Tamandua tetradactyla: one gene and its partners. The protein of the gene in region 2 interacts with the protein of the main gene of each other region in a biochemical or structural test. Links are inferred from orthologs where the notes say so. Each region holds a gene or a part of one and is shown on either strand. Other genes may lie near its edges. The genes, in order: APTX, XRCC1 and PNKP.

Region 1 (7,712 bases), on a different chromosome or scaffold from region 2:
ACTCCCAGGAAGCCATTTTGAAATGAGAAGCCACAAAAGAAAGCTAGCAGATGTGGCCATGAGCCTTTCCAACTGACAGAGAAACCCGAACATCATCAACCCTTCCTTGAGTCAAAGCGTATTTATGTGGACGCCTTAGTTTGGACATTTTTATGGCCTTAGAAAATTGTGACTTAATAAATTCCCTTTATTACGAAAGCCAACCCATTTCTGGTATATTGTGTTCTAGCAGCTTTAACAAACAAAACAATGACCAAAGACTTTTTCTTTCTTTTTTTTCTCTCTCTTTGAGGTGAGGATAGGAAGAGATCTAAAAAAGCCTGATTTCTTTGTTTATGTTTGACTGGGGTAAAGACAGTAAGGGAGAGAAAAACAAATGAAAACAAGATCTCACAGGTAAAGGTAAAAGAAAAGTCAGAAGCAAAGATAAAGGGATTTTCTTTTATCAAAAGAATCCACTCAAACGCCTGATACTGTATCAAACAGTAGGGACACCCACATCAAAAGGCCAAGCCCTTGATCTTTACGCTTACTCTTGAGAAGCTTATGTATATAGCAGAGAAGCCTAGCCTACCTATAGGTATACTTCAGAGTTACTTACAGAGGACCTCTTTTGTTGCTCAGATGAGGCCTCTCTCTCTCTAAGGCCAACTCTGCAAGTGAAATCATTGTCCTTCCCCCTCCATGGGATATGACATCCAGGGTGAAAGTCTCCTTAGCAGCATGGGATATGGCTCCCAGAGATAAGCCTGGCTCAGGCACTATGGGATCAACAATCCCATCCTGACCAAAAGGTTGAAAAGAAGCATAATAAATAAGGTGTCAGTGGCTGAGAGAGTTCAAATAGAATCGAGAGGCTACTCTTGGAGGTCACTCTTAGGCAAACTTTAGTTAAACATTGCTACCTATTATAACTTGACAAACCACAACCACAACCACTCCTGCCAATCTGAATACCTAAGGCATTATATAAGATTTTACAAAGGTTCCATCCAAGAGGGTAACTTTCCAGAAAACCACAAATTCCAGATGGGTCCCTGGACCAGGTAAGTCCTGAAATGCAGAGGGTCCAGCCTCTCAAGGACACCAATCAGGTCCATTTCTTTATCCCATATTATCAACAGCCCCTTTCAACATGAAAAAGTTAGAATAGGCATAGCCAAAATACTCCTAAAGAGTGGGAGAAAGATCAAAGGTGATGGTGGAATTATACAGAGAAGGTAGAGTTTAAGAAATGAGTATGATTTCTGAATTGTTATATTGATATTTCTTTTCGTCTCCAGTATCTTAGAGCAGCTAGAAGTAAAAACCTAAAATTGTGGAATTGGAACCCATACCAAAATCTGAAATCCGTTCTACAATTAATTGTTGTGATACACTTTGAAAGTTATTGCTTTTGTGTATGTATGTTATTTTTCATTAAAAAAATGATTGTTATGATAAAAAATAATAAAAAAGAGTTCACTCATTCTTGAAGACTAACAGTAATGTAACGATGGCTACAAAAACAGATGACTTTGTAAGAAGGGAAGGGAGAAGCGGGAATTTGAAAGTGATACCAATCAAAAGCAGTGGATTCTCTACCCAATGTGCACAACAGCCAATTTATGACACTAGGGTTTCAAAGAGAGAAAGAGTTTAATGGTAAGTGTGACACAGGAGAGTAAATGACCTATCCACCCAAAAAATCTATTTCCTGGAGTCTAAGGAGTTCAGGGTTTTTATGAATCCAAACAAGTGAGGGATGGAGTTGTTAATATTATAAAATAGTAAGTACACACAGGGCCAATATTAGGCTAGAATAACCATTATAATAGTAACTGTAAATAAAGGTGAGACTAGTTGAGTTTCAGTAATCTCAGGTATTAATGGCTACCTATTCCACAATACAGATAAACAAACATGCACGTAATGATTCGGTAATAGTAATCATTTGTTAATTCTTAATTTCTGTTACAAAAGAAAAATATGATGACCTCAATTTTCTCCCCAATCCAGTTAAAGTAACAACAGAGTGAAATGCTTGGAGCTTAATGCACAACTGAAGACAAAACAACATACACCAATGGTTAACATCAAGGCCTATGAAGTCGGATTGCCTGGATTCAAATCTTAGCTCCACCACCCACTCACTGTGTGAATTGAGGCAAGTTATTTAACTGCTCTTAAGACTTTACTTCCTCAGTTGTAAAAGGACAGTAACTGCTCTAAACCACAGGGTTATCACAAGGGCTAATTAAAATGAAAAAGTATGTAAAGCTTAGTGTCTGGCAAAAAGCATTTAAAACCATTATAATTCTTATTAATAGTTAAGGTTGGATGAAAGCAGAAGTTAAGGTCCTGTGAAAAAGACCATCAGACAGCACAGACGTTGCAAACTAAGGTGGGAGGACACAAACCCCAATGATCTGCCCTTATGACCAATCACAATTCAAATATATTCCCAAAGTATTCTATAGGACTCCAAATATAAGGCAAACTTCAAGAAGGTTCTAAACCTAGACCACATTAATCCCAAATGGAAACTATATCGCTGCTCTTTTGAAATCTCTATCACTGGAGAAAGACTTGCTTCTTCTGAGCTTCCTGTAATGCCTGTTGAGAACACTTATTTACGATGTGCACTGTCTCCTTTGAAGGCCCTCAAGGTATCAAAACAAGTTCCTTTCAGGGAGTTTCTGGCGGACAACACTTCCTAACAAGCTGAACCACCTCCTTAGGTAGGAAAGGACTCACTCTCTAACTAACCTTTTTGCGACTAAGCTATGTGCAGGTATCCGGAGCACATATGAACAAAGGGCGGAGACCAACGTGACCGCCCCGCTGAAACGGAGCACAAGAGCTCTCCGGAGAGCCAGAGGATGGGGCAACGCTTGCCGAGAAAGAAGCCGTGAGAGCGTTATTCAAGGAACATTACTCGGGGGCAGAGCGGCCCCAGCCTGAGGCCCAATCCTGCAGGTTTCAACAGAAGAGGTAGGCCGATCACCGCCTTACCTCGAGATGGCAGAGATGGACACGTTCACAGCAGTCCATCTGGCCGCACAGCTTCCGGCGCTGCAGGATGACGTCACGAGACTGCAATCGCAACCTGTGGCGTCACCAGAGCCTTTTGAGGATTGGCTGAGAAAGTCTCGCCCAAGCCCGGGCTGGGAAATGTCCTCCCCAACCCGTCCAGCAGTCGACCGGGGTTCACGTGGGTAACCTGGCAACTGTCCCTAGAAGACGGAGTTCTCGCGGCACCTCTGTGCTCGGGGGTCGCTCTCCTGTCACCACCCTCAGTCTAAACTGGAAGAGACCTCAGGCGGCCAGTGCAGGTTCCACGTTTCCAGGCGGCCGTGCAGCTTCTTTGCACTCCTGTGAGGTGACGCTATCATTGAGGCTCTCTTTTCTGCTGTTGGTACCTGCTGTGAAATTGCTTCTCTCCCTTTCTTAGCCATAGTATACTTTCTCCCTTTGTTGGGAATAAAGGAAAGGAAGAAAGAGAGTCAGGGAAACCTGCTAGAGGTTTTTTTTTTGTTCGTTTGTTTAGTGCTATCTTCAGTAATGAACTGACGGAAGAGCAATCAGGGAGTAGAGAAACAGAATACTAGGATGAGATGTTTACAGATTTTTACAGCAGTTCCAGGTCGTTCCCTCAGAGTCAGGTTTTGCAATTGTTCCAAGGCATTTTGTCAGGTAGAGAAATCCCTATTTCAGGGATGAAGGCATGCTGTTTTAATTTTTTCTCAAACATCTTAGATAAAAACTGAGCCATAAGAGGCTTCTTTGTCGAGATGGAATTTGTTTCCTTCCATATAGAAGCAAAAACTCAACAGTATAGCGAAAACAACTGAGTCATCAAGACAGAAGGTGGGAGGATCTTACAGGAAACAAAAAGAGGAACTTGCTCTTGTTAGAGGAAATGCAAGCTTAAACTAAGGTCGCCTAAGGAAGTGGGGAGGCACGGATGCATCTCAGCTACCGAGTCAGGCCTAATGGTGGGTTCACAAGTGCTTGAGATAAAAAGCAACAACTCTGGTGACCTAGCCAGTTTTGTTTTTCCCTTAGAATTAAGCTTCTCTTTGTCTCTGCTTCTACCTGCCCTGCCTTTTGTGTATCTTACATTCAAAACCGGGATGGGATCGTTCTAATTGTATTATTCACAATAAGATGTGAAAAATCAGGCAGAGTTCCCACACTGGGTCACCTCCCAGGTCCCAGACCGATGGCTTCAGTTAGATCAAGCCCACTGTCTAAAGTGCAGTGGTGGCCAAGAAAGGAGGGTCATGGTACAATATATGGGTGATGACACTTAAGAGATTCATAGATACCACTCCAGAAGCAAAATGATTTATCACAAACATATATAAAAATGAGTAGAGAGTATTCTGAGATATTATCTATGGCAGTAGCCCTCAAAATGTAGTTCCAAGACAAGTAGCATCAGCATCACCTGGAAACTTGTTAAAAATGCAAATTTGGGAGCTCTACCCCAGGCCTACTGATTGAGAAACTCGGGGTGAGGCCCAACAATCTGTTTCTAAAAAGGCCTCCAGAACCAATAGGTCGAGCCCTCAATCTTGGGGTTCAACCCCATGAAACATTCCTATAAAGATAGACTAAGCCTACTTAACGGTAGGCCTACAAATCACCACCAGAGAACCTCTTCTGTTGTTCAGATGTGGCCTATCTCTAAAAGCCAGTTTGGCAGGTGAACTCATTGCCCTCCTCTCCACATGGGACATGACTCCCAGGGGTGTCAATCTCCCTGGCAATGTGAGACAAGACTCCCAGGATGAGCTGGGATCCAGCATCATGGGATTGAGAAACCTTTCTTGATCAAAAAGGGGAAGAGAAAAATGAGACAAAATAATGTTTCAGTGACTGAAAGATTTCAGAGTCTGGAGGTTATCCTGGAGGTTATTCTTATGCATTATATAGATATCCCTTTTTAGTTTACAGTGTATTTGGAGTGGCTAGAGGGAAGTACCTGAAATTGTTGAGTGTGTTCCAGTAGCTTTGATCCTTGAAGGTGATTGTATAAAGATATAACTGTTACAGTGAGACTGTGTGATTGTGGAAACTTTGTATCTGATGCTCTTTTATCCAGGGTATGGACAGAGGAGTAAACATGGATAAAATAAAGAAATAAATAATAGAGGGGATAAGGGGTAAGCTAAATTGAGTAGATAGAAATACTAGTGGTCAGTGAGAGGGAGGGGTAAGGGGTATGGGATGTATGAGTTTTTTCTTTTTTGTTTCTTTTTATGGAGTGATGTAAATGTTCTAAAATGATCATGGTAATGAATACACAACTATGCGATGATATTGTGAGCCACTGATTTACACCATGTATGAATTGTATGTGTGTGAAGATTTGTCAAAAATATTTTTTGAAAGCCTTCCAGATTATCCCGATGCCCCCTCAAATTTGAGGTTCACTGATGGAAGGAAAAGGCTTGAAACTGTGCCCTTCAAAATGTGTTCTGTTGGCCTGCTCAGGGAGTTTTATTTTTTATTCCAACAATTAAAAATTAGATCTCACAAGAAAATCAGGATTCCTGGTCTCTTGAAAAAAATCAGTAAATCTAGCAACTTCTGGCAACAAACAGCTGGGACTGAGAGTGGCTACCATGTGCTCTTCAACTTGCCACTGTTCCCATCCATTTATTTATATAATCTGACTCCCTGAATGCCTTTGATTTTGAGAGTCCTGGTATAAAGGAAGTGCAGTTGGAGCCTGAGAAGGCTGCAGTGGTCTAGTCCAAAGACTTGCTCATGGAGACTTCCTAATATTAGGCTTAGGGTGGTCAGGCCCTTTGAGACTGATTTACCTATCTAACTCACATGAGACTCAGGTACACATCAAAGTATAATTTATTAACATGTCAAGGTAAATTACTGATATGGGCAAGACAAATGCTAGAATCTGTATTTCAATGTTCCTCTATTTGACAAATATTTATTGAGATTCTATTATGTTCTGGATGCACAGGTAAGCAAAACAGACACACTCCCTGCCCTTGTGGCACAGTCTAGTGGGGAAGACAGTCATTACTTTCACATGCACAGATTTACAATTGGTAATAAGTCCTAAGAAGGAAAAGTACACAGTTGTAGGGGAGAGAATAGCTGGAACACCTCTTTTGAGAAAAAAAAAGTTTTGGGGGGAGAGGTTGGTAGCAGGGTCAGGAAAGGCCCATCTAAGGGCTGCTAGTGCAGCACTGAATTCCTTTTACTGTTGGTACCACTGTGACCTGTGTCTGGGCCTCGCTGATGCTTAGCTCAGAGACCAATAACAAAGGCCCACTGTATTAGGGTTCTCTAGAGAAACAGAACCAGCAGGATATATCTGTAAATATGAGATTTATAAAGGTGTCTCATGCAACCATGGCAATCTAAAATCTGTAGGACAGGCTATGAAGCTGGCAGCTCTGATGAAGGGTCTGGACAACCTCCACAGGAGAGGCTCTCTGGCTGAAAAAGCAGTGAAAGGGTCTCTCTTCTTCCTTAAAAGCCTTCAACTGATTGGATTGTCATGTTGTGGGAGACAATCCTTACTTGTGCCATAATTGATCACAAATGTAATCAGCCACAGATGCAGTCAACTGACTGATGATTTAATACACTAGCCTTCCAGTTTAACAACCAGCCATGAAATATCCTTGCAGCAAAGGCCAGGGAAGTGCTTGCCTGACCGGACAACTGGGCATCATCACTTGGCCAAGTTGACCCCATTACCCAACTTGACACCATTACCAGTTCTGCCTCTGCTCTGAGGAACAGCTTGCAAGTGAGAGTTAAGATCTAAGCCAGCAGTGCTCTCAAGATCACTTGCCAACCAACCTCTCCTACCACACTTTCTTGACTAACTACCACCACTACCACACCCAACACCACCACTACCACACCCAGAAAAATGTGAACACATACACACACATATCCCTCACCTCCTGACTTCCCACCCATATTTGGATAAAACATAATAAATTGAACATAAAAATGTTGAAATGGCAGTTTAACCCAACACTTTAATTCCTTCATATTGCCTGATAGCTACAAAAGGAGTGCAAAGTTGGGGTGCAGGATATCAGATCTTGGTAATCAGGGTTTGACATTCACTCAACAAACACTTCTGAGCACCTGCTATACGACAATTACTGTGCTAAGTACTGGCTGGATATAAAATGTTATTAAGGAGGTGGTACAAGTATAGTTCAGTGGTAGAATTCTTGTCTGCCATGTGAGAGACCCAGGTTCAATTCCTGGCCCATGCACTACTCCCCCTTCAAAAAAAAAAAAAGAATAAATGTTACTGCAATAAGGGGATACTCACCTGGAAAAAGAATGAAATGTGACCCTCATTACATAAAAAAATAAATGCTATTAAGTCATGATCACCAAAACAGTCCTCCACCTCTGAAGCTTGGCTTTAACTCATTGGATTGCCTTTTGGTGTGCAGCCATCGGGCTGTTAAGAGGCATCCCTGTGAACTGGTCACCCCATTAGGAATGCTGTCAAGGACACTGCTCTTCATATCACACAATGTTCTCTTTATTAACACCCCTGGGAGACATTCCAATCAGATCCCAATTCCAGGAATAGTTTCACTTCTCCAGAGTAACAGGTTTGTTTTTTCTTACAGACACCATGAATTGTGAATACAATGAGGCTTTAGCTTAGAGACAAATTCATGGCCCAGTTGCCCATATATGAAGGTCATTTCTTTTGT
Region 2 (7,806 bases):
CAGCTAATACTGGCAACCACCAGAGGCCATCAGATTTTCCGGAGGGTCTCGGATGTGGACCAAGTTAACAAGCGCTGAAATGCTGGAGGCCCTGCTTCTGCCACTGCCTGCAACAGTGTGTTCTCAACATGGGAACCAGACGGAGCTTGGGTAAATTTAAGTCAGATTCTGTCCCTCCTCTGCTGAGAACCCTCCAGTGGCTCCCATCTTAGCATAAAAGCCAAAGTCCTTGCAGTGGTTTTCCAGGCAGCCCACAAGTGTCTCTTCCCGGGGAGGCCTTCTCTGACCCTCTATTTAAATGAAAACTCTCAGCACTCACCATGGTCCCGTCCCCTGCTGAGGGACTCCCTATTCCTCTCAAACTACTTAATTTCCCTCCACTGCATTCATCATCTGACTTAAGTTTAATTACTGGTTTGTTCATCAATCTTTCCCTACAAACATGGAAGTCCCACAAGAACTGAGATGGTTTTTGTCCTGTGCTGTTCACTGCTATATAAACCCAGCACCTAAAGCAGTGCTTGGCCTAGACAGTGCTGAATAAATATCTGTTGCATAGATGAATGAACAAACAAACAAATGAATCCATTCATTCCTAAGTCTGCCCCTGTACCAACAAGCCCCTTCCGTCTCTGGCTCCACATCTAATCCCTCCTTGTCTCCTGGATGCCGCTCCATGGATATCCCAAAGTCACATCAAACCTGGATGTCCCATCTAAACATATCACCTTCCCAAACTGCCCCCTCTCTGGGTTTCCCATTTCAGTGACAGCTGCACCTTTCCCCTCAGTCTTTCAGGTCACAGAATCCTATGCCTCATCCTAGCTCCTCCTGCTCCCTCACCTTCCACGTACTCTTTCCTGCCTGTCTATCTGCTCTCACTACAACAGGCACAAAGGACTGCACGTGACTTCCCTGGTATCACCCGATCAGAAGAGAGCCCAGCAGCTTTACGTAAACACCTGCATGTTGACAGAGCACTTCTGCAGACATTATGTCACCGAACTGTCACAACAACCCTAGGCTTAGATCTTATTATTCCTAATGGACAGATGATAAAACAGGTTCAGAGAAATAAAACAATTTGCCTAAGGTCACAGAGTGAGCAAGAGAGAAACTTGAATTCAGGTCCCAAGACTAAACTGTAAGCAACCTGTACCTCTTTCAGTTTAAAACATTTGACTCTTGGGCAAGTTGCATAACTTCACTCAGCTTGAGTTTCCTCATCTGTAAAATGTGAACAATAGATCCTAGGTCATGAGGTTTTTATGAGGAGTCAATGAGTTAATTCCTGTGAGGTGCTTAGAACAGTGACTGCCAGGTTGTAACACTCAATAAACGTTAGCTCTCATTTTTACTATGCAAAGGATTCAGGAGATATTTAAATTCCCCAACTCATTTCGAATATTTTGTAAGTCTGTGTTATTTTCTGGGAAGAGAATCCTCAGCTTCTATCAAATTCTCAAAAAAACCTCTGTGACCCCAAAATTTTTTAGAATCAGCAAGCAAGACAGAGAAAGAGAATACGATCAGAATCAAATGCAATCATGCAAGTCCTGCCTGACCTCCCCCATCGCTCCCCCAAATACCCCAACATTCAGAACTAAGGAATGTGGCCCAAATCAAGAAAGCTAGAGAATACAAGGCAGTTGGCAAAGTGGTAAATAACACCAGTACTCAGGTGTGAGTTCAAGTCCTGCCTCTGTCATTTATTGCTAGTGACAACTTTTGTGATGACTGAATCCATATAAAACACCTAGCCAGCAGTAAATGCTTAATATGTATTTAGCTCTCTTCTCCCATAATTTTCTTATCCCTGACAGGAACAGCCTGTTTGGAATTGTGTAACCATTTCAAGTCAGGCCACCCTTTCCTCCCTCAGGTTTGCCTCCCTCTAACCTCACAGGATTGTGGCCTGGATTGAGAGTATGAGCAAAAAGTACTCAGAAAAAACCTGGCCAGCATTTCAGTTCACTTCCCCCCACCCCCATATTTCAGTTTTCCTATCTTGAAAATGGTCGTTGATTGGCTTAGATGCGCTCAGGGACATCTTCCATCCCTGAGCCCACTGATTCACTTTGTTCGGGTTGAGGAAACCGAGACCCAGAAAGCAGGAGCAATCTATTGGGGCTACACACTGATTCCTATGGTTGTCCCTGGCCTAGTCCTGGGGATCCTTCTCTCCCCTCCTGAGGGGTACCAGTACCATGCTGCCCATTTTCCTGGTAAGAAAGCTGAGGCCCAGAAGAGAAAGTGACTCAGCCCTTGAGCCAACTGGCAGTGGGCTGAGTCACTTTCTCTTCTGGGCCTGGACCCTGGGTCTCCAGACTCCTAGTGGGGGGGGAAGGGCAGGGTCACCTGGAGGACCACAGAGATGGTCTTCTCGCCTGCCTTGGCAGCCCGCCATTTTCGGTAAGTGTCCGCCTTGAGGAGGTTTTCTGCACAGTGAGTCTGGGGGCAAGAGTGGAAAATGGAAGAGTTAGGACACGGAACCGAGGGCCAGACCCTCTCAAGACCTTTGCTAGTTGTCAGATAAGCTCCCCATTAATCCCCCACTCCTGCCTTGAATTCCCCCTGCAACCTTTTGCCCTGGAAGTTCACCTAATTGCTCTCCAAGGAACGCCCCTATTCCATTTTTTCTCTCCGGAAGTTCCAGAGATGTCCGGAAATTCCCCTATTCCTCAAGTCTCCGAGGATTCACTTACAGCATCCTGGAAATTTCCACTTGGCCCTTCTTAGATTTCCCTCAAGTTCCCTTTTAAACCCAGAAAGTTCTTGTGGAGCCCCCCTCCCCCTAGCAATTCCCACCTCCCCCACGCTGGCCCTCACCGAGTCCTGGCTGCTGCAGGACACCACATGGCGGAGGCGGATCTCCGGCATGCCAACGTCTTGGACTTCGCGGGGCCTGAAGGCTGAAGGAGGGTCGGGGTTTGGGTGCGGGGAGGGGTTGCTCCTCCGCGCTGACTTCAATGCGCACGCGCGCCGGGCTCGGGCCTTTCAAACTGCGGCGCGCCGGCACGCGCGTCAACAGCGCGCTTGCCCAGTCGCGCCACTCCAGTAGGCGGTGCTGAGTTTCCTAGCAACGAACTTTTCTCTAGTCCCGCCTCTCTCCGGCCACTCCACCCTCTAGTCCCGCCTCTTGGTGACGTATGCACTTTCTGGGCGCCCAGCAACAGGAGCAGCCTCCAAGATTGGTCCCTAGTAGAAATTCGCCATTCTCATTGGGCGATGCAGTCACCACGCATACTGAAGCCTAGAAAGCCAGACAGCAAAACCCGACTTAGAGTGTCATCTGGAGTCTTGGCTTCCGCGGCTGCATCCCACCGTCTCCCCGCCCCTATAAAAGCCTAAGAGCTCTTTCAGGTTATGCCTGAGACCACAAGAGAGTAGGTCACAGATCTAAAACACAAAGCATGCACTCACCCAGCCTACAGTGTTTCCACCCTTGCCTCAGTTTCCCAATATGTGGCCTGTGGGCATCAGTCTCCTACCGCGCCTGGCCCTGGCCGCTGACAAGCATCCCTCTGTTCAGTTCCCGTGTGCAAGCATGCAGCCGTGGGCTGAGTCGGAGCCGGCGATAGTCCAAATACAGAAGCAGGTGAAGGAGAAGGGAAGGGAGACAAGGCTCCCGGGCCCCCGCAGAACGAGCCTGGACACGCTGATGCTCCCGCTGGCGCTCCCAGGTGGGGCCCCACCCATGCTGGGTGCCTCCTTGGAAAGAGAACAAAGGAAGAGGGAATCCCAGACCTTGAAACCGGTGCAACCCCCCCCCCAACCCCCACCCCGGGGAATCAAATACTCCATTCCGACCTTGGGCGTCCAGCAAAGAAAATGGACTGTGGGAATGTGAGAGGAAACAGGGCAGTGACCTTCTGGGTCCTGATGGAAGAAAGAGCTGGAAGTCTAGGCCACTAGGGACCTGTGGAGAAGGGGCTGGACACCAGATGCCCAGGTCCCTTTTGGACTTGGTTCCGCCTCCCGCACCCCAGGGCTGGTGAGGCCTGCCCTGCGCTCTGACCTCAGCTCCTTCTTGCCTCAGGGTGAAGGTTGGCCGGGCCGCCCTTCCTTAGCGTCTTATAAGGGCTGGGGACCCAGGACTGCCTGGTGACACACCATGAGGCCATCGGAGAGTCCCAGGACCTTCCTGCTGGCCTTGGCGCTGCTCTGCACTCTTCTGGGCCTTGGTGAGTTGCTGGGGGCCTGGATTCAGGACACCCCCAGGAAAGAGGGGACTGTGGAAGAGCATTCAACAGGGTCTTTAAGGAGGAAAGGGGAAGTATCTTGAGAGCTCGGATTAATGGAGGAGGCTAAAGGAAGAGAAAGCCTGGAAACCCCAAGGGAAGAAAAGCTCACATGATTGAATCCCTGAGAGGAAGGGGCTTGGTGGGCCCTGATTCTCCTGTACCCCAGGCAGATCCCAAAATAAGACATGAGAATTCTAGGAAGTTAGATAAGAGCAGGACTAGAAAGAGGAATCTAATTTTAAAAACAGAAAAGACCAAGAGACTCCCTTTCTCCCAGGCCACCAGCTCCACTTTCTCCAGGAGACACCTGGGCTTCCCTCTCTCAGGCTAAGGGGTCCATGTGCCCACCCTTCCAGAGGTCATTCTCCCTCCTTAGCCTAGGATGTAGACCCCAGCCTCAGGTACTGCTACCTGAGTTCCTGTTGACTACAAGACCTCCAGTTGTACCTGCAAGGGGGAGGGTCTCAAACTGCAGAATCACCTGTTCCTGAAGCTTCACAAAAGTCCCTGGAAGCCTTCGCCACGCCCCTCCAGCCCCCAAGCGTTCTCAGAGGACCCTAGCATCCAAAGCCCCCAGCCTTGTAATTAGGTATCTAGGTTCTGTGGTGGAGTCGTTTCCTGCCCCTGGAAGCAGCTTGCAGGCATCACCACTGCGTCCCTGTCAGGGCTCTGCATAGTTCTCTGGACAGTTCCTTGGACCAATGCTCCGCCCATGAAAAACCTGGGAGATGGCAGGACCCTCCTTCGTAAGGACCAACAAATTGTGCCCTCTGCCCTCGTCTCCCTCAGGGCCCCGAAGTGGAAGTCGTGGTTCTCAGACCTCGGCTACAGTCCCGCCCTCTCCCCTGCAGGGTGCCCACTAAGCTGTGAGGTGTGTAAGGGCCCCGGGCCCACGTGCAGTGGAAAACTGAAGACATGCGAGGCAGGCAAGGATGCCTGCGTGGTCATCGTGGGGGAGTCCAGCACAAGTAAGAGGGTGGGCGTTGGACCAAAGGTGCCATCAGGGTAGAAACAAGATACCATGTGCTGGGGGGTGGGGGCGGGGGAGATGGTCATCACTGTCGTGGAATGAGTGGCGCAGGAAGAAAATGTGCAGGAAGAGGGCAAGAATATCTCGAGGTGGAGGCAGAAGAATTCAGTGGGGCATCAGAATCCATTGTGGTCAGGGATTTCTAAAAATGAGACTCTCCAATAAGGGAGGAAGAAGTCTATGGGGGAAAGAATGCAGGGTAAATAAAGAGACTATTGTAGATGGGAGGAGGTGAAGGAAGAACATAGGGAGACAGAGAAATGATGAGAAGGGAAGAATCTAATAAGCTAGCGAAAGAAGAGGGGAGAGCCCTGGGGGTGAGGGGCAGTCAAAGGGTCAGAGAAGAGACGATTCTAGAGGAGATGAAGGAATCAACCCAAATCCCCTGGAATCACCCCAGGGATGGTGAGGGTGGCATGGGCTGGAAGAGAACATTCCCGGCAAGAGGAGGAGAGACGGTGTTGGGATTAGGGGAAAGTGAAAAGGACCACCACGATCGGAAGGGGGAAGATAACCACGAATTATCGAACAAATCATTATAGAGAGAAGTAGAGATGGGGCAAGTGCGTAGGCTGGTGAGTAAAATGTAAGGGACAGGAGGTGTGTGACTCAAGTGGAGACCATCCTAGACCTGAGAAGCCATGGGTGGTTGAGATTGCAGGGGAAGAGACCACTGGGGACCTTCCTCACAGGAGTGATAATGGGGCAAAGTGTGGGAGGGAAGACTGTGATGGCAGGTGAGGGGTAACTGAATGCAGGAAGAAACCAGCCCCACTGGAGGGAGAGAGGGAGAAAGGTGGGACTGAAGACTGCGCCCATCCCATCCACCCAGCAAGTGTTGGGGCCTGGGGGACGGATCTGAAAGGCTTGAAGAGACCACCCCAGACAGATATAGGAAAAGAGGTTCTGGGAGGCTAGGAGGAAAAAAACCCTATGGGCTGGCGCCTAGAGGGAAAACCTTTGGATTGGGTTGGAAAAGACCACCATGGGTCGGAGAAGGGGTAGGCTGTGGAGACTGGCAGAGACCACCCTAGACAGAGAGGGGGATAGGTGTTGGGGGAGTGGGGCAGCAGCCCAAGGTTTGTTGGGCAGAACCACCCCAGGGTGTGGGGGGAGGATGAAAGTCTTGGAGGATGGAAGAGACCACACCACAGGGACAGGGGAGTGGCCATACTGGCCTGGCAAAGACAGCAAGGTGCTGGAGGAGAGGATGGCCTTGGGGTGGGTGGGAAGGGACCATGTCAGGCAGGCAGCAGGGATGTTTGCAGTAGAGGACTGCAAGAGACCACCAAAGGAAGACTGGGGCAGGGAATGTAATGAGTAGAGAGAGCTACCTAATAAACCACTCCAAACTGAACCCTAGGCAGACAAGGGGAGATGATTTGGGGAGACTAGAAGAGACCACTCCAGGCAGAGAGGGAGGTATGGATTGAGGAAGCTGGAAGAGACTATCCCAGGCAGTCGCAGGGCAGGGAGATGTTGGGTTACGGGAGACTCGAGGCTAGGGTGGGGTCAGCTAGCGTCGCTGAGCCGGCCCCACCCCGCAGAGGGCCAGCAGTCGGTGAACACCTACAAGTCCTGCATGAAGTCCAGGGACTGCTATTCGGGGTTCGTGTCCACCACCATGGGCCCCAAGGATTACATGGTGTCCAACGCCCGCTGCTGCCAGAGCGACGGCTGCAACCGCGACACCGTGCCCCGTAAGTGCCCGCCCAGCGCGGCGCCGCGAGCAGTTTCCAGCCCCGCCCCAAGAGTCCGCGGTTTCTGGCCCAACCTGCTGCTGTTCGGCTCCGCGGCGTCGGGAAAGCACTTGGCTGGCTCAGAGCTTCCGTGTCCACACCTGTACAATGGGTTGTACAATGTCCCTTAGCATCCGGGGTTGTCTGAGTTCAGGAGAAGGGCTTAAACGGTCACCCCACTCTCACGCCCCCAGCTCCCCAGAACAATCGCACTGAGAACGGGCTCCACTGCCCCGCCTGCATCGCGCCGTTTCAGGAGACCTGCCCCGGGACCCAGGCAGCCCGCTGTGTTGGCCAGGAGACCCACTGCATCTACTTTGCTGGCAACGTGCAGGCCGGTGAGGGGACAGGGGCAGGGGAGCTGGAGGCTCAGACTTCCAGGTACCAGGGGAGGAGGGGGGTCCTTAAGGTGAGGAGGGGGCTGGTGGCTAGGACTCCTGGGTGGTGAGGAATTGGGGCCTGGAGGCTCTGACTCATCTGCAGTCCCCTTTCCTAGGTATCATCAGCCCCAAATTTGCCACTCGCGGCTGCGCTACAGAGAGTGCCTGCTACACCAAGGTTGGGGCGGAGGTGCCCTCCGCCTCCTATCTCTACCTACTCAGCAGAGTAGACTGTGTACCTGCATCCCAGCCCCCCGGCAGGGCTGAGTGAAGAAATGAAGATATGTGGCTTGAGGCCCTCATTTGTCCTCAACCTGCAGCTCCCCAAAAGTCTATCAATTAAATGGGTTAACAGACCAAGTCCTGAGATCTTGTGATGTGACACATCTTGAGGAGGTGGGATGCAGAGAGTA
Region 3 (7,334 bases), about 9.9 Mb from region 2:
CCGCGCCCAGGCCCCTGTGCTTATGCCGCCCATGGCCGGGGGGCCCTGGCGGAGGCCGCACGCCACTGCCTCCACGACATTGCCCAGGCCCACAGGGCGGCTGCGGCTGCCCGGCCTCCCGCGCCCCCACCAGCACCTCAGCCACCCAGCCCCGATCGGAGCCCCCCCCAGCCTCCCTCGGCCCGGGAGGAAGAGGAGGAGAATGGGGAGGAGCTGACAGAGACATCAGGGGAGAGGCTGGACATCAGCGATAGCGGAGGTGAGAGGGGCACAGAGCTGGCGGTGTGATTGTCGGGAAGGTTTGGATTCCGTTGGGTTTGCCTGGAGGACTGCTTGTCTGTGAGCCCTGCTGGTCTATGGAAGAGACTGGCAGGATGGACAGGCCTGCCAGGGACTCCATTGGCTGTGGGGCCTTAAGCAAGTCATTTTCCCTCTTTGAGCTTCAGAGTCCTTATACTGGTATTCTGAGGCCAGCTCCTTATTGCCAAGTACTGGGCAGTGATTCCCGCATCTGGGGCTGTTAATGCCTAAATGGCCAAAGATAGGAGTTAAAGAGGAGTGAGGAGTACAGTCACAGCTGAGAAAGCCAGGAGAGAGGGCAAGACAGCTATTTTGGGGGAATTTTGAAATACAAGGCTTCCCAGAAACTGGGTTATAAGACTAGGGTTTTGAAGAGTGTGTAGGAGTTTGCAAATGTCTCACTATATAGGAGTTACTATTTTCTGTTACTGTTACTACCAATGGCTGGCCTCTTCATTGTTGCTGGAGAAGACTCCCATAGGGTTAAGGGTACAGACTCTGGAACCAGGTGGCCTGGGTTCAAATTCCAGTGATGCCACTGGGACCTCAGTGGCTGTGGGACCTCAGGTAAGTGAGTTGACCTCTATGTGCCTCTGGGTCTGCATTTGAGATCATAATTGACCCATATTTCTCTTAGTCAGTATTTTAAGTTAGATCTTCCCAAACATGTTTTGCAAATTTCACATTAATCCAACCAGTCACTTTGATCTGAAGGTAAAAGATAGATACTGTGTTTATTTTTCCAATGACCACCCAGATACCCCAAGGAAGGGCGTAGCGTTCCAGACAGAGGGAACTGCAATCATGGAAGCCCTGAGGCTTCAAAGGGTCTGGCAAACGCAGGAAGTAGGGAGGGGTCAAGGGCACATGGGGCATGATGGGAGCTGACTGGCCCTGGCCTCTGCCTCCATCTGCAGGGCTGTTTGTGATGGACGAGGATGCCACCCTCCAAGATCTGCCCCCTTTCTGCGAGTCGGACCCTGAGAGCACAGATGGTGAGTGTCCCAGGTTGTCTCCCCTGGTCGTGGGGCTGGGACAAAGCCAGGGCAGAGGCTGAGGACCCCCTGTCTCCCAGATGGCAGCCTGAGTGAGGAGACCCCGGCGGGCCCCCCATCCTACTCAGTGCCTCCGGCCTCAGCCCTGCCCACACAGCAGTACGCCAAGTCCTTGCCCGTATCCGTGCCCGTCTGGGCCTTCAAGGAGAAGAGGACAGAGGCACGGTCATCGGATGAAGAAAATGGGCAGGTGAGGGGCAAAGTAGCACAGGGCAGGGGGCTGCCTCCCCTAGGAAGCTCCTCAGGCTGATGGTCATGGGAATCCACTGAGCAGGGATACCATTTTCCACACAACCGCACCAGGCAAGTTCTTGGGCCAAATCCTGCAGTTTTAACTGTTAAAACTTTATGACGTATCTCAGTGCCCTGTAGGAATGGCCATTATGGAGCACCTGCATGGCCCCCACCACTCAGTATCTTGGCATCACCTCCAGATGGGGAAACAAAAGACTGGAGGGGTCATACCCTCCACCCCTGGTCCCTCCCAGGATCTCCCACCACTCCTTTTGTGCTGGGGGAAGGCCACATCCAGCAGGCCCAGCTCAGGGTGACAGGGGCTCTAACGGAGGTGAGGCAGCACTGGCACTTGGGCTAGCCAGCAGGGCCCTGAGGATGTCAGCGCTGGCAGGTGAGAGCTCCTTTTTCTTGAGCAGTCACTGCTAATTCTCTCCTTCAAGCCTCACAGGTCCTGGTGCCAGTCCCATTTTTGAGAGGGGGAGAATGAGGCTTAGGGAGGCGAAATCCCTTGTTAGCAACCAGTCGTAGGCTGAGCCCTGGTGGGAAATGAGCGAATTCCAAGCCTCAGGTCCTAGAGATGAGACCCTCTGGGTCCACGCTTCATCAGCGGTCGGCAGACAGGTGGCCCTTCCGCTGTGGTAGAAGCAGCCAGAACTGCGGACCGACAGGCAACCGCGGATCACAGAGGTCCAAGTTAGAAGGGGAAGAAGTCAGGGCAAGAAGGCTTCCTGGCGGAGGCGGTGCCTGAGCGGAGTGTCGGGCCTTCCTGGCGGTGGGCAGCACAGGGGCAGAGGTGGGAAGGCAGGAAAGGGCCCCGGGTGGCGGCAATGGATGCCGACTCCGGCTCCCTGCGGTCCCCGCAGCCCTCCTCGCCGGACCTGGACCGCATCGCGGCGAGCATGCGCGCGCTGGTTCTGCGGGAGGCCGAGGACACCCAGGTCTTCGGGGATCTGCCGCGCCCACGGCTCAACACCAGCGACTTCCAGAAGCTGACGCGGAAATACTGAGGCCCTGGACCGAGCTGCGGGGCTGGCGTCAGCCCCGCCCCACACTACACCCCCGCCCCGCCCCCGGGGCCCGCCAATCCCAGTCGGATCCGGACCGGCGCCCCACGTCTCCCTGCCAGTGACCCGGCCGCCCTTCCAGCCCTCGTCCCTTTGCGGGCGTAGGAGCGGGGCCTGTCCAGTCTCCTGATTGGGTGTGCCGCTCCTTTTTCCGCCCAGCGACAGACTATTAATGGATTGGTTCACTCCTCGGCTGGGGGCGTGGCCAGTTCTGAGCGCCTAGGTGGCCAACTCTGCCGTTTTCTGCCTAGCGACAAGGGCTTTGCTCACACGGCATTGGCTCGATCCGTGGAAGAGCGCGGTCGAGCCCCAGGATTGGGCAGTGGCGCTCCACTTCCGCCTAATGTCCGGGCAGCGCCTTTGTTTGACTGGCTCTCGCTTTTTAAATGACCCCATCGATCTCCCGTGAGTCCGTCCACACTCTCCCAGACTTCTCCCACTTAGTTAGCTCCGCTCTTTAAAGGGCATAGCCAAACCCTGCTCTCGTGCTCTGGAGTGGCTTGCGGCCTCCAATTTACAGTCTCTACACTACTGGGGCCGCGGTCGCCTTTGCTCATCCTGTCAATTGGTCCCGCTGGCCCCCTTCTCATTTGTTCCATCCTCAACAGCCTGCCAGTCGAAGCCCGTCCGTGCATCCAGGACGGTACCAGCTCCCGCCCCTCTCCCCTACCCCCACAGGTGCCTTAAAGGGCCCTCGTCCACCCCAGGTGGGGGACAGGGGGCCGCACTCTCCGGCCCTGGTATGGGGGAGAGAGTGGGGGGGTGGGTTAAGGAGTTTGGGATCGCTGCGATTAAAAGTTTTACCTCTGACGAGTATGATATGTGTTAACGGGTGTTCATTCAAACTTTTTTTGAAGCTGAAAGAGCAACATCTCATTGGTTCTCAGTACAAAGCTGGGAGTTGGGGTTATGCCCATTTTACAAGAAAACGGAGATTCGCGGGTTGGGGAAGAGGATTCCAGGTCTGTGTGACTGTGGAGCCCCCGTCTTTAGGGGTATTAGGGTTGGAATCCGAATGTCTTTTAGGAGTCAGTCTCCTGAACCCACATAATTCTCCGATTCTGGCAGGAACTGCCAGATGGGGCCGCAGGTTTCCTACCAAAAGAAGACTAGAAGTTAAGAGAGCCGGTGGTACCTGGCCCGAAGTTGGGACTCCGCAAAGTACTCATGACGCCTCCATGTCCCAACAGAGCACCATGGGAAGGGTGCGAGCAATAGACAACCTAATGTAGCCGGGTCTACTATGACCGCACGTTTTCTAAGCTCTCTACGGGTATTTACCCCTTGAATCTAGTAATTCACGAAGCGGAGATGATTATCTGCACTTTATGAATGAGAAAAGTGCAACATCGCGGTTAAATCAGAACGGTCTAGGATTAGTGCTGCTGTCAGTGACAGGGTATCTTCCACTTCAAATGCGAAAGAACCTACTTCCGCTGTAGCGGTCTCCAGCAAAGAGGATGTAAGTTAAGTGTTCAAGATGATGAGAGGAAAAACTATAAACGGACACATTCGCCCTACTGGCCTGAATCTCACATTGTAGTAGGAGGGACGAGGTCAGAGCTGAGAAGGGACCGCAGGCACAAGCGACAGGAGGAGGGGCGGGGCTGCTGTGATGGGAGGGGCCGGGCCCCGCCCCTTTCGGTGGCAGAGTCATTTCCGTCCGCCACCGACCAGCAAAAGCGGCCGGCTCGGCTGCCCGCAGAGCGCCTCCGGCGGGAGTTCCCAGGTGGGAGGTGGCGCGCGAGCCCGCGCAGCGCGCACGGGTGAGGCTGGGGGCGGGCCGGGAGCGCCACGCGAGGCTCGCGGCCTTGGTCCGGGCAACTCGGCGTCACGGCTCCCGGAGAGATGGAGCCGGGGGTCAGCGCCTGGGAAATGGCGCGGCAGGGTGGGATTTCCGGAGCTGGTAGCAGCTAAATGGAGGGGATTCCGAGTGGCGGGTCTGGGATGGGGAACTGTGGGTAGGTGAGACTTCCTGTGGGCCTTCGGGAGGAACCAAACCGAGGTGGAATTGGACGGAGGGCGGGACTCAAATCTGCCACTCAAACTCTTAAACCTACTTCCCGCTAGGCGCGGGCCGGGATGGCCAAGTTGGAGGCCCAGGGCCGCCTGTGGCTGGAGAGCCCACCTGGTGGGGCACCTCCCATCTTCCTGCCCTCGGACGGGCAAACCCTCGTCCTGGGCCGGGGGCCTCTGACCCAGGTCGCCGACCGGAAGTGCTCCAGAAACCAAGGTGGGCGGAGACGTGGCCTGCCTCGTAGAGCCGGAACGCCACCGGGTGGGGAAGAGGGGCCGTAGGCGCGGTTAGGGAGACGCTTGCCTGCCGCATGGGACTGCACGGCGCAGCCAACCCTGGAGCTGGCTTGTGCCTGACTTGGTGCTGGCCACACACTGTCTGCGGAGGGGGGGCTGGCGCCAGGGACAGGGTCACCAGTGGGCAGAGAAGGATGCTCACGAGCCACGGGCGTTGTTAGAGAGAGCCGCCCCTTCGGAGAAAAGTGGAGGTTGCTTGGTAGGGATGGCTGGTAACTGGCAATCCCAGAACCAGCAGGTAGCCACACCTTTTGTCAAGGAGGCAGCCAGTTCTCTCGAGAAAAGTACCCGCCCTTTTCCTGGGGGTTCAGTCTACCTACAATCACGTGTGTGAAAGCGTGAGCCAGTCCCTTCAGAAATCAGTAATTCCCCGGTAAGGGTGCTTACAGCCCAATCCTGGGGCCCAGGAACGAGGGATTCCACTACACAAAGATGACAATCCTGACTCCACCCCTCAACCCTCAGTGGAGCTGGTCGCAGACCCTGAGACGCGGACAGTGGCAGTGAAACAGGTACCAGAGCCTCAGCTTGCCCCCACCCCACCCCCGCCCCGGAAAGCCGGGGGGCGGGGTCTGGGGAGGAGCCTCAACCTCCTGGGAAAATCTGATGGGCTGGGGAGGGTGGGATGTGACCGGTAAAGAGACTCCAAGAGAGCTGCCTGTTTCCGTGGGGTATCTATCTATCTACCCTCATTCAAACTGAACCAAGCTACACCCTGCCTTTGAAATCTTTTCTAAAACCCGAATTGGTGGTACACAGTGAAGAGGTGGGTCTTAAGGGCCTGAATGGCAATGGACAAAGGCATTTGATGGGAGGACATTCCTAAGGTGGGGCAGAGCCAATGCTGGTTCCTCGCTCTTGTTTTGCAGCTGGGAGTTAACCCCTCAACTGCCGGGACCCAGGAGCTGAAGCCTGGGTTGGAGAGTACCCTGGGAGTAGGAGACAAGCTGTATTTGGTCAATGGCCTTTATCCCCTGACCCTGCGATGGGAAGAGGCCCACACACCAGGATCCCAGCCAGACACTCCACCGGGTACCCCTCCGGTGGCCCCAGCCATGGGGCAGGATTCTGGGCCGCAGAAAAAGAGGATGCGGAAGTCATCCCCGGGTTGGGAGGACTTGGAAAAGCTGCTAGTGTTCACAGCACCTGGGGTGAAGGCCTGTGGCAAGGTGAGGCCCAGCTGGGGCTGCAGGGACCCCCACTGGGGACCCAACCCCACACACACTTGCTCTCTGCCCCTGGGCAAGTCATTAGAGTTCTCACATGACAAATTCAGGGGAAATTATATTTTCAGCTCCAGCTTGACCTATGGTAGCCACCTGGGAACTGTGGCAGGAGCATTATGATGAATCATTTTTAGGTCCAGAGACTTGAGTTCAAAGGCACTTAGCATGCTGTTTTAGGGCTTGGACCCCCATTCCCTCGTTTCTGAAAAGATGAATCCATGAAAAACACATGGCTTACAGTTAGCACCCAAATAAAACTTGGCCTGTTTTTAATTCCTGTTGTTAGCCCTTGGAGGTGAAGAAGGTGGGGCAAGGAGAGTACGAAGCTAAGAATGCCCATTTTAAAGAGTGGAATACTGAGACATCCAGAAGCAATGAGAGACACATCAGGCCCTGCACTCAGAGGCAGTGAGGGTGGGTCCTGGAGGGACTGTGTCCTTGCATAAGATGTTCACCTGTGACTCGGTTTCCCCACCTGTAAAATGGACACATGTGAATCTGTCTGTGGGTGAGGATGAGAAGTGTAATCACATTGTGTTCCCTTCTTCCTGGTGTCACCAGGTGGCCGGCTTTGACCTGGATGGGACTCTCATCACCACACGCTCAGGGAAGGTCTTTCCCACTGGCCCCACTGACTGGAGGTGAGAAGAGGCAAGAGCAGGGAGGGAGTGGGACCCAAAGTCTCCCACCGAGCTCCTGGCTACCCTGCCGCTTCCCCACCCTAGGATGCTGTACCTCGAGATTCCACGCAAGCTCCGTGAGCTGGATGCCGAGGGCTACAAGGTGTGTGCGCACACACGTGTGTGTCTGTGAGCAAGCGGTGCATGTGCAGCGCCCGGGCCTCAGGACAGGCTGGGGACCCTGGGGAGGGGACACTGGTGACCCCACTTGTTCCCCAGCTGGTGATCTTCACCAACCAGATGGGCATTGGGCGTGGGAAACTGCCAGCCGACGAGTTCAAGGCCAAGGTGGAGGCTGTGGTGGAGAAGCTGGGGGTCCCCTTCCAGGTATGGCTGCAAGAGAGGGTGAGGGGCTGTATGGGGGTTCGAAGATGTAGAGGAAGGAACAGAGACCCAGAGGGGGGTGCAGAGACCCAGGGGAAAGGCTGAGGCCTGGGGTCAGGGGCAGAAACCCAGAGA

What was found.
Region 1: the proteins of XRCC1 (region 2) and APTX form a complex in vitro, tested with the Homo sapiens proteins (2 studies listed by BioGRID). The link is inferred for Tamandua tetradactyla from reciprocal best matches to the Homo sapiens genes XRCC1 and APTX.
Region 3: the proteins of XRCC1 (region 2) and PNKP form a complex in vitro, tested with the Homo sapiens proteins (3 studies listed by BioGRID and IntAct, with this or other methods). The link is inferred for Tamandua tetradactyla from reciprocal best matches to the Homo sapiens genes XRCC1 and PNKP.

The regions. Positions count from the first base shown.
Region 1 is NC_135328.1:62,891,099-62,898,810, reverse strand, and holds the start of APTX (aprataxin), read right to left. Parts: upstream 3,062-7,712; 5' UTR 2,995-3,061; intron 1-2,994. UniProt on the Homo sapiens protein: DNA-binding protein involved in single-strand DNA break repair, double-strand DNA break repair and base excision repair.
Region 2 is NC_135342.1:21,214,219-21,222,024, reverse strand, and holds the start of XRCC1 (DNA repair protein XRCC1), read right to left. Parts: upstream 3,020-7,806; 5' UTR 2,881-3,019; coding exon 2,830-2,880; intron 2,452-2,829; coding exon 2,359-2,451; intron 1-2,358. Other genes in the region: PINLYP (phospholipase A2 inhibitor and Ly6/PLAUR domain-containing protein), read left to right, coding at 4,115-4,184, 5,096-5,212, 6,822-6,974, 7,208-7,351, 7,510-7,664. UniProt on the Homo sapiens protein: Scaffold protein involved in DNA single-strand break repair by mediating the assembly of DNA break repair protein complexes. Negatively regulates ADP-ribosyltransferase activity of PARP1 during base-excision repair in order to prevent excessive PARP1 activity.
Region 3 is NC_135342.1:11,291,729-11,299,062, forward strand, and holds the start of PNKP (bifunctional polynucleotide phosphatase/kinase), read left to right. Parts: upstream 1-4,291; 5' UTR 4,292-4,385; intron 4,386-4,726; 5' UTR 4,727-4,738; coding exon 4,739-4,889; intron 4,890-5,434; coding exon 5,435-5,481; intron 5,482-5,558; exon of another isoform or gene 5,559-5,838; coding exon 5,839-6,138; exon of another isoform or gene 6,139-6,397; intron 6,398-6,407; exon of another isoform or gene 6,408-6,670; intron 6,671-6,685; exon of another isoform or gene 6,686-6,756; coding exon 6,757-6,836; exon of another isoform or gene 6,837-6,920; coding exon 6,921-6,978; exon of another isoform or gene 6,979-7,094; coding exon 7,095-7,202; exon of another isoform or gene 7,203-7,208; intron 7,209-7,334. Other genes in the region: AKT1S1 (proline-rich AKT1 substrate 1), read left to right, coding at 1-259, 1,218-1,295, 1,376-1,545, 2,456-2,599. UniProt on the Homo sapiens protein: Plays a key role in the repair of DNA damage, functioning as part of both the non-homologous end-joining (NHEJ) and base excision repair (BER) pathways.